2 linked regions of the Lonchura striata genome follow. The protein of the gene in region 1 binds, or shares a complex with, the protein of each later gene. Links are inferred from orthologs where the notes say so. Each region holds a gene or a part of one and is shown on either strand. Other genes may lie near its edges.

Evidence for each region.
Region 2: PPP4R2 (region 1) and PPP4R3B share a complex: the UniProt entries of both Homo sapiens proteins name them as parts of the PP4 complex. The link is inferred for Lonchura striata from reciprocal best matches to the Homo sapiens genes PPP4R2 and PPP4R3B.

What each region holds. Positions count from the first base shown.
Region 1 is NC_134614.1:20,820,757-20,828,006, forward strand, and holds the start of PPP4R2 (serine/threonine-protein phosphatase 4 regulatory subunit 2), read left to right. Parts: upstream 1-4,174; 5' UTR 4,175-4,318; coding exon 4,319-4,352; intron 4,353-5,049; coding exon 5,050-5,131; intron 5,132-7,250. UniProt on the Homo sapiens protein: Regulatory subunit of serine/threonine-protein phosphatase 4 (PP4). May regulate the activity of PPP4C at centrosomal microtubule organizing centers.
Region 2 is NC_134605.1:27,036,706-27,044,672, reverse strand, and holds the start of PPP4R3B (serine/threonine-protein phosphatase 4 regulatory subunit 3B), read right to left. Parts: upstream 3,096-7,967; 5' UTR 2,848-3,095; coding exon 2,706-2,847; intron 1,395-2,705; coding exon 1,339-1,394; intron 1-1,338. UniProt on the Homo sapiens protein: Regulatory subunit of serine/threonine-protein phosphatase 4 (PP4). May regulate the activity of PPP4C at centrosomal microtubule organizing centers.

The sequences.
Region 1 (7,250 bases):
ATTAGCTTTCATTTATCTTAATAATGGGATGTGTAAATACTTACAAAGACTTTATGTCCTCATTTCCCCTTCCTCTCCTGTGTTTTAGTTATTTCCAATGGTATAATGGATAGAGCTCACCAGCATTTTGCTTACAGGGGAAACTGGAAACTGCTCAGTGTGTGTGTGTGTGCGCACAGCACAAGCATGTCTGTAAAAAATGTCCCTTTTCTCTGTCACTGAATTGCTTGTGGACTTTTCTTTGACAAGTGCACTGATTGTTACAGCTCCCAAGGAGGCTGAGCAGTGCATTTCTGAGTTGAGGATGATCCCTTGGCTTACAGTACAAATAAATGAAATTTTAAGCAAGCTCTATAATTTGCTAGTTTTCTTTTAAATGCAAGATTTTGTGCTGGTCTGGTTGGGGTAGAGTTTTGTAGGTGTGATGTTTTAGTGTGTGTATACTGGGTTTGACAGCAGGGAACACAGATAAATGTTGCTCTTTTACAGTTTTACTGTAGTGAGAGAGTCTGATATTGGATATAAAGAGACAAATGCATTTAACTTTCCCCAAAGTGCTCGTGTGTCATGCTGCAGCTCCAGCTGTGTTACAGCGAGCATAGATCAGATCAGCATACTTCTCTCAGAGGAAACTGGAGTTTTATCTTTTACTCTTTACTGTTTCTCCATAATGTTTCACTCCTTGGAGGTAATTTAGTATCATTTCCCTTCCCTTCTTGTATGCATTTTTTTGACGTTCTTGTATGGTCACTGCTGTGCTGCCCTTGCTTGTGACACCCCTGTGTGACAGAAGCTCCTGGGCTGTCTGTTCCCAAATCCTGCTGCTGACACTGGTCCCAGCTGGGTGCTGTGTTGGGCTCAGCTCTCTGAAATCAAGAATGGATGGGCAGAGGTGGGCCAGCTGTAAAACACCAGCCTTGTGTGGGTTCTGGGAAGGCTCTGGGTGTGTGGGGAGTGTTACACACTCACAGTCACACTGCTCAGATCCAGGCTTTTTCACTTGGCAAAGTTGGCTCCAGCCAGTATTGCTGTGGGGAGAAGAGAGATTTCCCAAGCTGGGAATAAAGTACAACTAACTGAAAGAAATAAATCTTGACACTTTCTCAACTGTCAGAGAATCCTTTTCTCCTCTCCATCAGGTACAATAAAATGTGATGGTGGTAAATAAAGAGTGAGCACCCTCCAGAGGTGAGATGGGATGGGGCAGTCACCAGGATAGTCCCTTCAGGGAAACATTCCCCACTGCTCTTGGGACAAGTGCTGGGATCAGCCTGCACCTCCCGCTGGCACGAGATAAGGAATTGTTATCTGAGCTTCAAAAGAAAGAGTGATGTTTGGAAGTTTTGCTTTCATTCTGGATCAGAATAAAAACCAAACTGTCAACACTTCCTTTGAAATGAAAATGGAGACAAAACACCAAATTGAGAATCAGCATGGAAGAAGAACAAAGCACTTTGTTAATGTTTTGTTTTGAGGTGAAATATTTTGGTTTGACTTTCACATTTCTGTAAACGTACCTTAATTGTTGCTGTTACTTTGTGAAAACTGCACTATAGCCCAAAAGTGTAGTAATTTCAGTATTAATTTGTATTAATTCTTTCAGTATTAATTGGTAATTAATACTGAAATAATGGCACAGAAATGACATGGCTCTTTATTTTAAAGACCTGTTCTTGTAGAAGCATCTCTTCCGAATCCCCCTGAAAATGTTAATTCCCTCTTGTGAGGGTTAGAACTGTGCACAACAGGTTCACACCTTCTTGGGGTTCACACCTTCAGGGAAAGATCTCCTTCCCATTCTGCTCAGCACTTCCAAAGGGCACCGTGGTTCCTCACACCTGAGGCTCCAGGTGCGAAAACAAGGCTGGTTTTAGTCTGACTGATCCCAAAGTTTGTGGCGTGATGTCAGGAATCTCCTGTCCCAGGGATATCCTGGGAGGAGGGGGTGAAATACAGCTTGGAAAGAAAACTTGGCCAGCCAGTTTGCCACAGGCTCTTGGATTAATAGGAGACAATCCCTGGGGTCCTGCTGGGACCAGTGGCTGAGCCAGGTAAAGCCTGGAATGTTTGTCACATCTGACTATTCCTTGGGTATTTGTGTCTCCTCTGGGTAATCTTTCAAAGAAACAACTCCCACAAATACCATTTTTCTCTTTTCAGCCTCTTTTTTTAAAGCACTCTGTGTGAGCTGTTCTCATCTTTTGATACTCCCAAGTCTTCTGATTTTTTAAAAGCACAATAAAGATGTTTAGTCATTGTCTCAGAGGAGAAACATAATTTGTCTCGAGGTGGCTGTGATATACTTTAAAGAAAAAAACCCAAAACTTTCCTTCTCTGGATGTTTCAGAGATCCATGATTTTTAGTGTCAAGTTATTGTACCATACTCATGTTCTGCAGCTATAAATTTAAACAAACCAAACAAAACCTCTATGCTCCCTTTGATGTGTATTGATGTACAATATTTTCTGAAGACCTAAGTGGGTCTTGAAATATAATATTGTTGTCATTTTCTTATTGTTCTCAGTGGATTCTGCTGCATCTCCCTTGCTTGAATGCTGAATTGAATTGCTACAGATTGTTTCAAAGCACAGCAATCAATTTTGGTTCAAACTGGGTGGAAATACCTTACAAATTGCTGTCACACTTCAGTGAAGGGAAACTGCTTTAAGTCAAGTCGGGTCAGGGATCTCTAGATACCTAATCTAAGCTTCATTACTCAGAGCAGAAGTAGCTGCTGGTCTTACACCACAAATAATTTTAATTATTGATTCATGCCCAAGGGTTGAACAGCCTATAACTCTCAAAAAGTATGTTTTTAAATCTGAAGCATAAATCTTAATGAGGCTTAGTGTAAATTCAGTGGAAGAAACAAACAAAAAAACCAAAAAAAACAACCTGGATTGTAAAACAGCTTCTCATTGTCTTTACCTAGATGTTTAAACCACCACATCTTCCCCAACAAGGTTATTATTCTTATTCTTGGGTCTCAGTGAATACTCCACAAACAGGCTGGGAACTGACACAAAATGAAATCATCCTCTTTGTGTACATTTTTATTACAAGGTGTGTCAAATACCTTACAAGGAGTAATTATAATTTGTTTCATTAATGAAGAAGCTCAGGTGTGATTGCCTCACCCGTTTGCCTGAGATCACACAACAAACCGATGATGAAACTACCTACAAGCTTTTTGTGTCCTAGGATTACTTTTAAATGTTTCAGCTTTGAAAATGGAAGGAAAATGTCATTTGCTGTGAGCTGAACTCTTTCCTAGGTAGTAGAGGGGTTGGGATAGAACCTTTTATCTGCTCTTTGCCAGAAGGAGTGACAGCTCTTTCCTCTGCCAGGGCTTTGCATCCTCAGAGCCAAGAGCTGGCACAGGATGGGCGAGGGGATCATCCATCCCCAGGAGCACAGGGAATATGTGGGAAGGAGGAGAGTGAGCGGAGACCTCACTGGGATGTGCAACATCCTCGTGTTTGGGAGCAGAGGGGACCGGTCCCCATCTCTTTCTTCACTCTCGTGACCAGTGACAAGACTCGAGGGAATGGCATGAAGCTGTCGGGGAGGTTTGGGTGGGATATTAAGAAAAGATTCGTGTCCCAAGACTGTGGTGGGGCACTGCCCAGGCTCCCCAGGGCATGGTCCCAGCCCCAAGGCTTCCAGAGCTCCAGGAGCGCTTGGACAATGCTCAGGGTGGGATTGTTGGGGTGTGTGCGCGGCCAGGAGCTGCACTGCATGGTGGACCCGTTCCAACTGGGGATCTTCTGTGATCTCCTTGAGGTTAAAAAGGCACGTCCTTGCACAAACAGGGACTTGGGGAGGGCAGGAGGAGCGCGGTCACCCTCAGTCAGAAAGCGAGGAGGAAAGCACGAGAGCTCTCTGAGGGGCCGGCGCGTGAAGGGGAAACGGCTCCGCGTGGCCTGCCGCGAGGATCCGCAGGGCAGGGCCGGCATGAGGAGGACGATCACCCGCGGCCGGCAAGCCAGCCGCGAGCCGCCCTCAGCCCGCCCGAGCCCTTCCCGCCGCTTTTCCCGCCGCCGTTCCCGCCGCTCCCTCACGGCCGCCGGCCCCGCCCATTGGCCCCGCCCCGCCCACGCGCCCCGCCCATTGGCTCCGCCCCGAGGCTCCGCCCATTGTCTCCGCCCATTGGCTCCGCCCCCGGCGGGCGGGGCCGCGGGGCCGCGCACGGGCACGGCGCGGGCGCCATGTTGGAGCGTCGCTGAGCGCGGGGTGCTGCTGAGAGCGCGACCCGGTCTGCGCGGGACTGGGGCGGGGGAGCCGCGCCGAGCCGCGGGGGAATCGCCCGGGCGGACCATGGACGTCGAGAGGCTGCAGGAGGCGCTGAAAGGTGGCGGCCAGGCTGGTGGCGGGGGCTGGGGGAGCGGTGTCGCCGCGCTGAGGGGAAGGCTGAGGTTCCTCAGAGCCTGTGGGGGGAGCGCCCCTCGCTGAGGGCGAAGGGTCCCCGCGCTGTGGGGAGGGAGCTGCTCGCTGTGAGGGGTCCCGCAGAGTGGGGAGAGGCCAGGAGTCGTGGGGAAGTGGAGGGCAGAGCCCGCGGTCTCCCTGCCCAGCGACCCTCGGGGCTGCGTGAGGGGGATCAGCGACTCTCGGCTCTGCCCGGCTGCCGCCCTGGACACCCCGGTCCGGCCGCCCCTTCTCCCTCATTCCTGCCCCTTCCCCCGCATCCCGGCCCCTTCCCCCGCATCCCGGCCCAGCCCGGACCTGTCCCCTTCTCCCTCCGCAGCCCTCTCTCTTCTGGGCTCAGCTTGAGCAAATCGCTCTCTTTCTGTGCCGTAGCTGCTCGGAAGAAGTTGCAAATCAACTTTTGCTACTCTGCTGCGTGCGGTTTCTCCGCAGGAAAAATAATAAGTGTTTCCCAGGGCTGAGGAGCTGGTGGAGTTCATGGGAACAGCCGGGGCATTGTGAGAGCACAACAGTGTTTTTGTGGGAGCTGTACTGATAGTTCAAGCAAATCGCTAATTATTGTGAATTTTTGTTCTGTCCCATCTTCATTTACCATTCTTTTTGTGTCGTTCTCATGCCAACAGATTTTGAGAAGAGAGGAAAGAAGGAAGTGTGTCCAATACTGGATCAGTTTCTTTGTCATGTTGCTAAGACTGGAGAGACGATGTAAGTGTGACTGTTTTGGTGGTCCTCAGTCGTGACTTAAAACAATTCTTGCATTTTACGTCATTGAGATTCTACCAGGATTCTTTTTTTTGCCTGTAGGTTGCTTCAGTGGGCTAAATAAGCTTTCCTCAGTTCCCATTTAATTTTGTATTGATTAATTTAGTTTGCTGATAGTTTGATCTAACGAGGGGAGACTTCTCGTATAGGCTTTGCTCTGATGTGCCTGTCAGGTCTTACTGATCCTACTCAGCACAATAAAAAACCTGTTGCTTTCCCTGGATTTTTGAGAGAGATTCAGGTTTTGTATGTTACAAGTTAAGCTGCTGTTGCAATGTTTTCTATACACTGTTGTATAACTGTGTTTGCAGTATCTACATTGTGTTATTTACATAAAGATTGCAGTCGCTCACATTGTTTCTTTCTGGGCTCTGTAACCATCCTGTGACTGTCTGGGCGCTGCTGCTGAAGCGGGGACGATCCGGAGGCGCTTTTGCGGACGGGGATGTGTGGGAACCGCGGGGAGCGCCGTGTTTTTCCCTGGTGCGGAGGGAATTTCCCTCGTGCCGCCCTTTGCGGCCGCTTTCCCGGAGCTTTCCCGGGAGGCAGCGGAGGGAGCCGCGCTCCTTGCGGGGCTCGCTGCTGGTGACTTCCTTGCGGCTCACTATCTGGCAGGAAGGGGAAAGGCTTCCCGGCTGCGCTGCCGGATTCGTGCTCACTTTCTGGCGCCCGGGCTGTCTCCTTGTTTTTGAGGCCTAGTGCCAGACTACGGCTCCAGCAGGGAGATATGCTTTTACGAGTGTTTTGTGATCAACCACCGACCCGCAGGGGCTTTGTTTGAGTTTCGAGAGTCCCGCCAACTTATTAGAGGTTCTGGTGATTTTTTTTTTTTTGGTAGCTTGCTAGTGCTGCTTGGATTAATGGTTTAGAAAGAAAAACAAGTTCTGAAATGTACTTTGCTCTTTGAATAGAAGGCTCATGCTCAGCAGACATACACAGCTGTAATGCTTCATGTTTTGGTGTAGTACTTATTATACAGAAAAAATACACCACAGTAAGCCCATACTAAAATATGTTTAAAATATTTTTTCCCATTCTGAGGTATTTCTTCAGGTTGTTTTTACTGTTTCTGCCATTATCATGTATATTCCAAAGTATTTTTTAAAAAGTGATTCTATAGGGCCAAATTATTGGGAAAATTGTATCCTTTCTGATTTTATTTTCATTTAGGAAATCTAGGTTTATTTTTATTATTTTTATTTTATTTTTACAAACTTAAACCTCAGCTGGAGTCTGTAATCTGATATACAGATCCTGCCTTCTGTGTTTCCAGGGTTTTCTTGCAATTTTTTTTTTTTATATAGTTTTTTTAAAAGGTGTTGGATGTGAACATCAGAAATGCCTAATATAATCTGGAGATAGGCATGGAAATACTGTTTTATAATACTGTATTTGCTTCAGATTATCTGCCAGAGTCAGTATTTGGTCATCAGACATGTGTTCATCAGACTGATGTGTTATGTATCACAATATCAGGGGGAAAAGTGAGTAAAAATTAAAATCTCCTGGAAATCACTCATATGAAGATTACTAACGTGCCTTTTAAGAGCTTAATGTATTTTTAAGCTGGTACAGCTTGACAAGTACAAGTGTTCTGGAATAGGCAAACCTACCAAATACATGCAAATTTAAAATGCACTAGATAATCTTTATTTTGACTTATGTAAAAACAACTTTGTTGAATAGAATCTAAGCCAGTAATAAATAGATACTTTGGAGTGAGAAAATAAAATACTCGTTTGTAGTGACATTTGTTAGGATTTTTACAAAGTCAGAGTATAGTTAAAAAAAACAAAACAAGCAGGGATGATGGTTTAGTCAGGGGTAATTACACCCATGGTTTGCAGACTTGATTATTGAACAATGATCTTACTCAGTCACAGCCTGTTCCTAATGTAACAAACAAAAAGTACTGAGGCAAATCAGGACAAGTGAAATGTGAAATATTTTTGTGTTCAGTTGTTAGTTCTAGGAGAGTTACATGGTCTTCATAGGAGTTCTGTCAGCTTTTTAATTTCATCACAAATGCTGATTTTTAGAAGATAAACTGCAGTCTCTATCC
Region 2 (7,967 bases), on another chromosome or scaffold:
TTCTAAACTATGATCTACCTTTTCCACAAGGAAAATAGTAACAAAAGCTACTTAAGTCACTTGAAACTTTGCTACCACTTAAGTAAAAAAGGCCTACGATTAATCAGTTGTAGTTTCAGGAAACAGGGTGTGAAAGGAAGCATTTTAAAACTTTACAGCAACAAATCTGCATTTGTATTTCACTGTGTATAGGTTTCCTCTAGTAAACAGGAAGCAGTTCAAGACTCTTGGCTTCTGGAGCTCTGCAGAGCTCCTTCTTTAGCATGACCCCCCCCAGTGAAAGCCTACACCTACCAACCCCTAACAAGTGAACACCAGAAACCACAGCAAACACCCCCTGGAAAGACTGGCCCAAAACTCCACCTCATGCCTAACCTAAAATGAGCCAACCAATGTCTACAAGATAAAAAGTCTCTTTCTCAAATTCTTACACTGTAACTTGTCACTATAACAAAATCCTCAGAGATGTGTCCCTCTGTGACTTGGGAAGAACAAAATTACTGTTTTTTACAGTGCTGAAACACTTCTGGATACCATAACGATGAAGAACAAGTATCAAACACTGAAGGAACTGAGACTCTACTGTAGAGCAAAGAAACAGTGAGAAAAAATTCCAGAAAACCCATGAGAACAATGCAGGCAGAGCCATCAAAAATGCATGCTGAAAAAGGGAAAACAATAAAAGCAGAAGAGATTCAGTAAGCTGATTTTTTTTCAATGGATGAAACAAAAATAACTTATCAACACAGCTCTCAACTATTTTACTTCATTGTCTTGCAGGAGGTTTACCCCTAGGAAAGGTAACTTTCACCATGGCTTGTGGCCTTACCTAGGACAACAGGAGCTTTCAGGGCTTCAAATAAAAACTAAACAGCAACAACAAAGAAAGAAATCCCACAAAGACAAATTCCTTCATGTTATTTCCAGAAAAATAACTCAATCAATAAATAAATACACTTCAACAGAGCTGGTCAAAGTTTTGCCTCCCTAATTTTAATTATTTCAGATAATTTTAATTATTTCAGGCCTGGCATGGGAGACAAAAGTTATACATACATGTTTCCAACTATCTTTCCTGTAATGATTTCAATGTCTCTTCAAATTGCATATATTATCTTCAAAGTCTGAAGTCCAAAAAGTATTTTTCTAGAAGACACACATATTAATTTCTAGAATGTGAAGTGTTCAGCACCGACAGGCTTCTAAGCAATTTTTTTACCATCAACAATTGCATGTCCTCCTGCTTTTCCTTTTTTCCTGAAAAAATGCAATTACTCTGAGCACAAAACAATTCCTCAGCATCAGCAACCAGAGAAAGTAAAGCCTAGCAATACTTGCCTGCTGTTTTTGATATGCAGTATTTGGATTTATCTTCGATTCTAACAGTAGTGAACCTGAAAAAGGTACGAAGAGAGATTTACTGAATCCAACAAAACAAACATCTCCACACACCTCGCACCAATGCCCACGTGCCAGCCAACAGACTCTCAGCTTAATCCAAATCTCACAGAAAATCCGTAAGAACCACCTCCTTTAAATATAATTTCCTAAAATAAGCCAGATAAGACAAAATTCAACAGGAAGATCCCTATTAAAATACATTTTTCTCTTCTAGTTTATTCCAAAATCCACTGTAGCACTCTTTTCCTTCTGAAATCTGGTGCAAGCACCAGATTTTTTAGTGGTCTTTTAGGCCAACTAATGCAAATTCCAGCAGGTAATGTGCTGCCCAGCATAAAAAATGCTTTTGTCCAGAGAAGCCACATGGGCCACTTGCTTTTATTCCCTTCAGCTGCCCTTCAGAGGTAAATCATCCAGCTACTACAAATGCAGGGACTTCATCTTGTGTATGCAAGTAGTGTATGTCTCCTGGCAACAGCTCTAGAGCAATTTATACTAATCTTAGGTGGTTTATTTAGCACATTAGCACCTGTCTGCTGACAAAGTGGGGAGCATATACCTCCCCGCTCTAAAAAAAGACCCTTTAAGGTGACTTTAAAGTGCAATAAAACACAAGGGATGCCACCCGACTGGAATACAACCAGGGAATTCCTGAGGAGAAAAAGGGCAGCAAAACAACTTCTTCACAGCAGTAAGAAATGGAAGACTAGAACACCTCAAAAGCAAAGGCTATTGCTCTGAAAGAGAACAAAATGTCCTCACATGTCACAGCTTCATCTCTGTTCAGGCTGGGGAGCTGCATGGAGCTGAGTCAGGGAAGGTTTAGGATGGACATCAAGGAAAGGTTCTTCCCCCAGAGGGTGGTCAGGCACTGCCCAGGCACTGCCCAGGCTCCCCAGGAAATGGTCCTGAGGCTGCCAGAGCTGCAGAAGCGCCTGAACAACCCTCTCAGGCACAGGGTGGGATTGTTGGGAGGTCTGTGCAGGGCCAGGAGCTGGACTTTGATGATCCTGATGGGTCCCTTCCAGCTCATAATTCTATCAACTGGGAGGGGAAAAGTCTAGGACCACAGTAGCAAACGCTGCTATGGCTTATGTGGTAAGGAAACTTCACGCGAGCTGCAAGACAAGGGAAGGCACGGAGAGTAGAAATAATAACAACAACAACAGTAATCCTCGTGCGTGATCCAAGGGAAGGCACTATCAGCCGAGCCCGGCGATGGCGGGCGGCAGCCCCGGCGGTGGGGCCCGAGCCGGGCGGGGGGCGAGGGGAAGCGGCCTGGGCAGCCCCGGCCACGCTCTCACCGTCTGACTCGGCGCGCACCAGCAGCGACATCCCCTTCAGCCGCTCCACGTAGCTGGAGGAGACGTGCCCGGTGCCCCTGTCGTCCCATTGCCGATCCTCGTTGAGCGTGTAGACCTTCACCCGCCGGCGGGTGTCCGACATGGTGCAGCCCCGGGCCCGCTCCGCCTCCGCGGGGGCGATGGAGCGAGGGCGGCGGAGAGCAAGCGGGGCCGCCGGGCCGCTCAGAGGCACCGCGGGGCCTTTAACGCGCCGCTTCCCATGGCGAGTCAGCGCCGCCGCGCCCCGGCCCGGGCCTTGCTGGCGCCGCTCCGCCTCGGCAGCTACTACAGCGCCGCCGCCATCTTGTAACCCGGCTCGGGCCGCCTTTCTCTTCCTCCCCGCCCGGGCACGGGTTCCCCTCGCAGGGGCTACGGCGGCCGCGCGCTGCCGCCGCGCCGCCGACGGGACGGCGGCCACGGGGGCGGGGCCGCGCGCGCTCCTTCAGGCGCCGAGGCGGGAACGGGAGGTGGGGATAAAATGGCGGCTGCCGACCGCCGCAGGGGATATGGGCGCATCACTTGCCTTTTAACGCCCTAAAGGGGGAATTGCTCACATATTCCCCCGAAAAAAACTAATTTTTTTAAAAAATTCTTCGTTTTTTTCTTTTTCTTTTTTTTAAGTCTGTCTAAAGGCTGGCGCCACCGCTGACGAAACACGCCTCCGTCCCTCACGCCACAGAAAGTGCCACCCACGGCCGTCACACAAAATGACGGGCGCGCTCCATACCCGACCAGGGTAAATTTAAACAGCACACAGAACTGAAACAGTTTCAATTTTTAGGAACAAAAGGTGTCCCCTGCATCACAAAACGGCAAAAAGTTAGTGAGCAGCAACTCCTTACAGCAGCAGCCATACTGTAACACGCTGTCTGTGCCTGCTTGGTACATCTCCACAGAAGGCTTGAAAGCTAAACTGCTGGGGAATCTTCAAAAATGAGAGAAACGTGCTTAATTAGCTCTTATACACAGCATACAGTTTAACACAGACCACTTGCCAAGCATCGCGGAGTCCGTACCTGTTAAGTTTTTCACACTAAAAACCATCTACACGTTTCCTCTGTACAACAAATAAATAATTACATCTCCGTGCTTGCGTGGGAATAAGGAAAAACGACCCAAAAGTTTTCAAGGAGTAAAGCTGTGTGAAACAGTGAGAAACTGGGGACAAGGGGAAGCTTGAGTGTGTCTCCAAACCAAATTCTTGAAGCTCTGAAGAGGAAGGAGGGAGGACAAGTTCTCCTGAGGGCAGGGTGTGCCTCATTCCCAGACAAAGTCAGACTTTCCTGGCTCTTGCCTCACGGTGAAAGCAGTTACACCGGTATGGCCCTTATTCACACGACTGGCATTTCTATGCTCTCAAATTCAAATGTGGCTCCAAAGCAAGCGAAAGAAAGTGCTTCCCAAACTATGTCCTCAAAGTAACTACCTGCAGCTTTTCCAAACATTCTCTGGGCAGATTAAAAAAACTTAACATCTAAGTAACATTCAAGTCTCAGCTTTTGCTCTGATGTTCATTGTAGCAGTCACCAAGAAAATACAAGATACAACTCTTAGAATTTTAATATACATTTATGTTTAGCTGTATAGGAGCACACCTTGGGACATGTGCATCATTATGGGTAAGTGAGTCAGTAACTATAAAAAGACCGTGTTAAGTGGTTTCAAAATCCTGGACTGAGAGTCACATGAACCAGTTTACAGTCAGGTTCCACACAAGCCTTCCTCACAAGGCATTACAAACTGAGCATATTTCTACCTTGGAGAAAGCTCAATAAAAAGCAAACACACAAATAGGAACACAAACCCCAATGACCACAACATATTTCTGCCTCAGGACATCTGCTGCTCATGAACTCCCTCTCCCCTCTGCATGACTTCTGTGCGTGCTTTTTGGCTCTTCAAATCAAATGCACAAAAATAAAAGCATGACTCCTACTAATGACTAAATGCAGCACTTCTCGGGATATATAAAACAGCAAGAAACCACAGCATAGTATTTTGGAGCAAATTCTTATGGTGAATTACAGAAAGGAGGTATGCGCATCAGAACTAGCATGAAAAACTATTTCTTACACTTCAGCTGTGAAATAAATCTATGATCTCTCCAGGCATGAATTCAATGACTTCTGTGGAAAATATCACTCCAGAAGTCATTGGGATTGTGCTCACTCAGATGTGGGGCTTCTCTCTACCCAAAACAGCATCCAGGGGGTTGTAAAGCCCAGGATGACCCTGCCATTGGTACCCAGAACCAGCAAGTCAATTCTGGGGGCCTTTCCTGGACAAAACATGCAATACTTGCCCCAACAAATGTTACATACTGCATTTAAACCCAGGCTAAGACCAGGAAAGCATCCAAGCCTCTGCTCTTTAAGACAAAGCAAAGCAACATTTTCCACAGTGCACCTGCCAGCAGCTCATCATCCCCATTACCACCATCAAGTTATCAATGCTGAGAATTCTCTGTTCTTCATCAAAGCAAAGGATTTCGTTAGGGTGGACAGAAGACAGAGCAACTCACAAGTGTCACTACATGAGCTGTGGAATGCCTTTTTTTGTTTTCCCAAGCAAGATGGGCAATTAATTCCTAAATAATTTAAAATTTCTTAGAGTGAAATTAAGAGACTGTATCATTCCCTCTGGCAGGTGATCCCAGAAGTACAATTAGGCCAGCTCTTACACTTTTATGATAGTACTTGTAATATATATTGTTGACATTTGAAGACACACCAGCTCCTGACTCTTTGCACTTGCACGAAAATTTCAGACTTGTCAAATAAAAGGCATTTCTGGCCCTCCTGAGCTGTTGCAATGCTGCACCTGCCCAGCTTCTCTCCAAGGCAATTTCTCTCAATGGCTCCATTTAAGACAGGTCATTACAGAAGCTAATTATGTTGAGCAGTAAGAAAGAAGAAATAAATCACTGAGCTTGTTCTCTTGAGCACTCTGGACTCACCTGGTTTCTGATCATAGCTGATCCCACCTGAGAGTCAAGCTCCTCCTGCCACGGCCCTGCACCGGCTCTAGGAGAGCCTGGGATGTCCTTCCCTCCAGGAAGGGTCAGAGCAGCACACGCTTACTCAACTCTTGGCTGCCATTGAGCTTCTCTCCTCAGGTAAGAGCAGCTGCTTTCTGCTCCTCCCAGCCAGCTCCCAAGTGTGCTCTTCCCCCGCCCCTTCCCACAGGGCCTAAAGCTGGTTCCAGATGCAGAAAGTCAGGCTGACTGTACAGGTTCTGCCACAGCAACATTAAGGTAATTTTGCTCCTTTATCATCATCCACCAAACAGACAATGCCCCAGCACTGCAGTAGCTGCTTTACTGAGACCAGCTCCACAACACAGCCTCTCAGAAATTAGTCTACAATAAGGGGAGATAAACCTTGGAAATCCACTTAGATTGGGGAGGTCCATTTCTGGGAAGAGTCACCAGAAATGGCAACATCTGAGTTTCTGTTCAGGGACTTTAACATTGACCTACATAATTTTATTAACACTATTCATATGTAACAATCATGTATCAGTCAACTGTCACAGTAAGAAGTGACATCTGAATTCTTACTAAGAAATAATAAGACACAGCCTTCAAAGAGGAAGAAAAGATTGCCAAAGAAATCTTTCGTCAATCTTTCCAAACTTTTTCTATTTTTCAATCTTACATCATGAAAGACAGGAACAACTACAGAGCAGCATACCAGTAATTTCTTTCTTTAATATTTAAGTTAGAATTAAAAAAGGAGTAATTTTTTACTGTACATTCCCACTTCTCTCCCCCATGCTTTATTTTTTCTTTCAGGTGGTTCAGAGCCCACCTGCCACCAGGTGGGAAGTTGATTTTATTAGTCCTGCATACAAATTGGTGAACATCAGAAGGACCCTGTTTGATTTTCAAAGTCTGTACCTCACAGTAGAAAAACGAGTCACTCTCATGAGCCCCTGGGAAATGTTTTGAAGTCTAAAATAAATCAGTGAACTCACTGATGCAATGTAATTAATAGGACTAAGAAATTCTTAATGAGAGTGTTTCAGGGAAAGATTTATCACATAATTGTTCATTCCAAAAAAAGTATTTTAATTTTAATGTTTTAATTATGCATTTTAAAAGTCAGTGCTAATGAACCCAGGTGATAAGGGGTGATGTTTCAGCCAAGTTCTGCTCACATATGCTGAGATATATTCTGCTACAGGTCTGAACATTTTAAGAGTGATGTATTAATCTAAAACAGAGTCCATCATGTTAAAGGTGACACTTCTAAGTCTTTATGACTTGCTCAACATTCTTGTGCACTGAAAAGCCAATAAAACTTTGGCCAAGTGTGACTCTTGACCAAGCATACAGGATAATTCTTTCTCCCACAGAAGAGTTGTTCAGTTCTTACTTCTCATATTCACAGTTTTGAGTGGATAACTCAAAGGAGAATAACCTTTAGCACTGAAATATCTTCTCAGTCTACAGAATTCCATGTTCTTGTATTCTCATCTCAACCTTGCTACACAAGATGAGGGCACTGCTTGCTCCTGGTTTTATTTTCAAGTTTTTAATCAACTTGAAGGCCTTGACGTTCTACATCACCTTTAAGCATAAATAAGTATCTATTTTATAAATATGATTTACTACCATCCACCTTCAGATTCTTGTGAGGACATGTAGAAATTCTAGCAAAGGTCACTTGTATTTTCACCATCACACCTTTTTTCCTGAAAGAAAGAAAACACTTTGTAACCAATTCATTATATCAAGGTATGAGATTCAAAGATGTTCCTTAAAACTGAGATTCAGTGAATTTTCCCTTCTTTTTGTGCTGTCAATCATTCCTAGAAGGTTGCCACAGATTGCCTTGAGTTCCTACTGGTGCACTGTGCATTTGCCAAGCTTGCTAACTGCTCCTGATTTTAACATCAGACACCTTCCTGTTCTAGCAGCTTTCCAAGAACAAGAAAACTCACATAAATTTTGGGAAAAGCTGAGGCATAAGCCCTCTAACAGTCAAATACATGCTGGAAAACTACTTCTAAGGAAGAGCTTTGGCCATTTCATTAATTGACTGAAATCTTCTCTACTGTTGACTTAATCAGGAAAGCAACTTATTTTTTCTTCTCTTCCAATGCCCTCTTTGGGCTTTTTTCTTTAAAAGGTAGAGAAAAAGGATCTTGGAATTGAATAAGTAAGTTTGTTTAGGACAGAGAAGCCTGTCCAGATTGCCAGAGACCATCAAGGCATTTGAA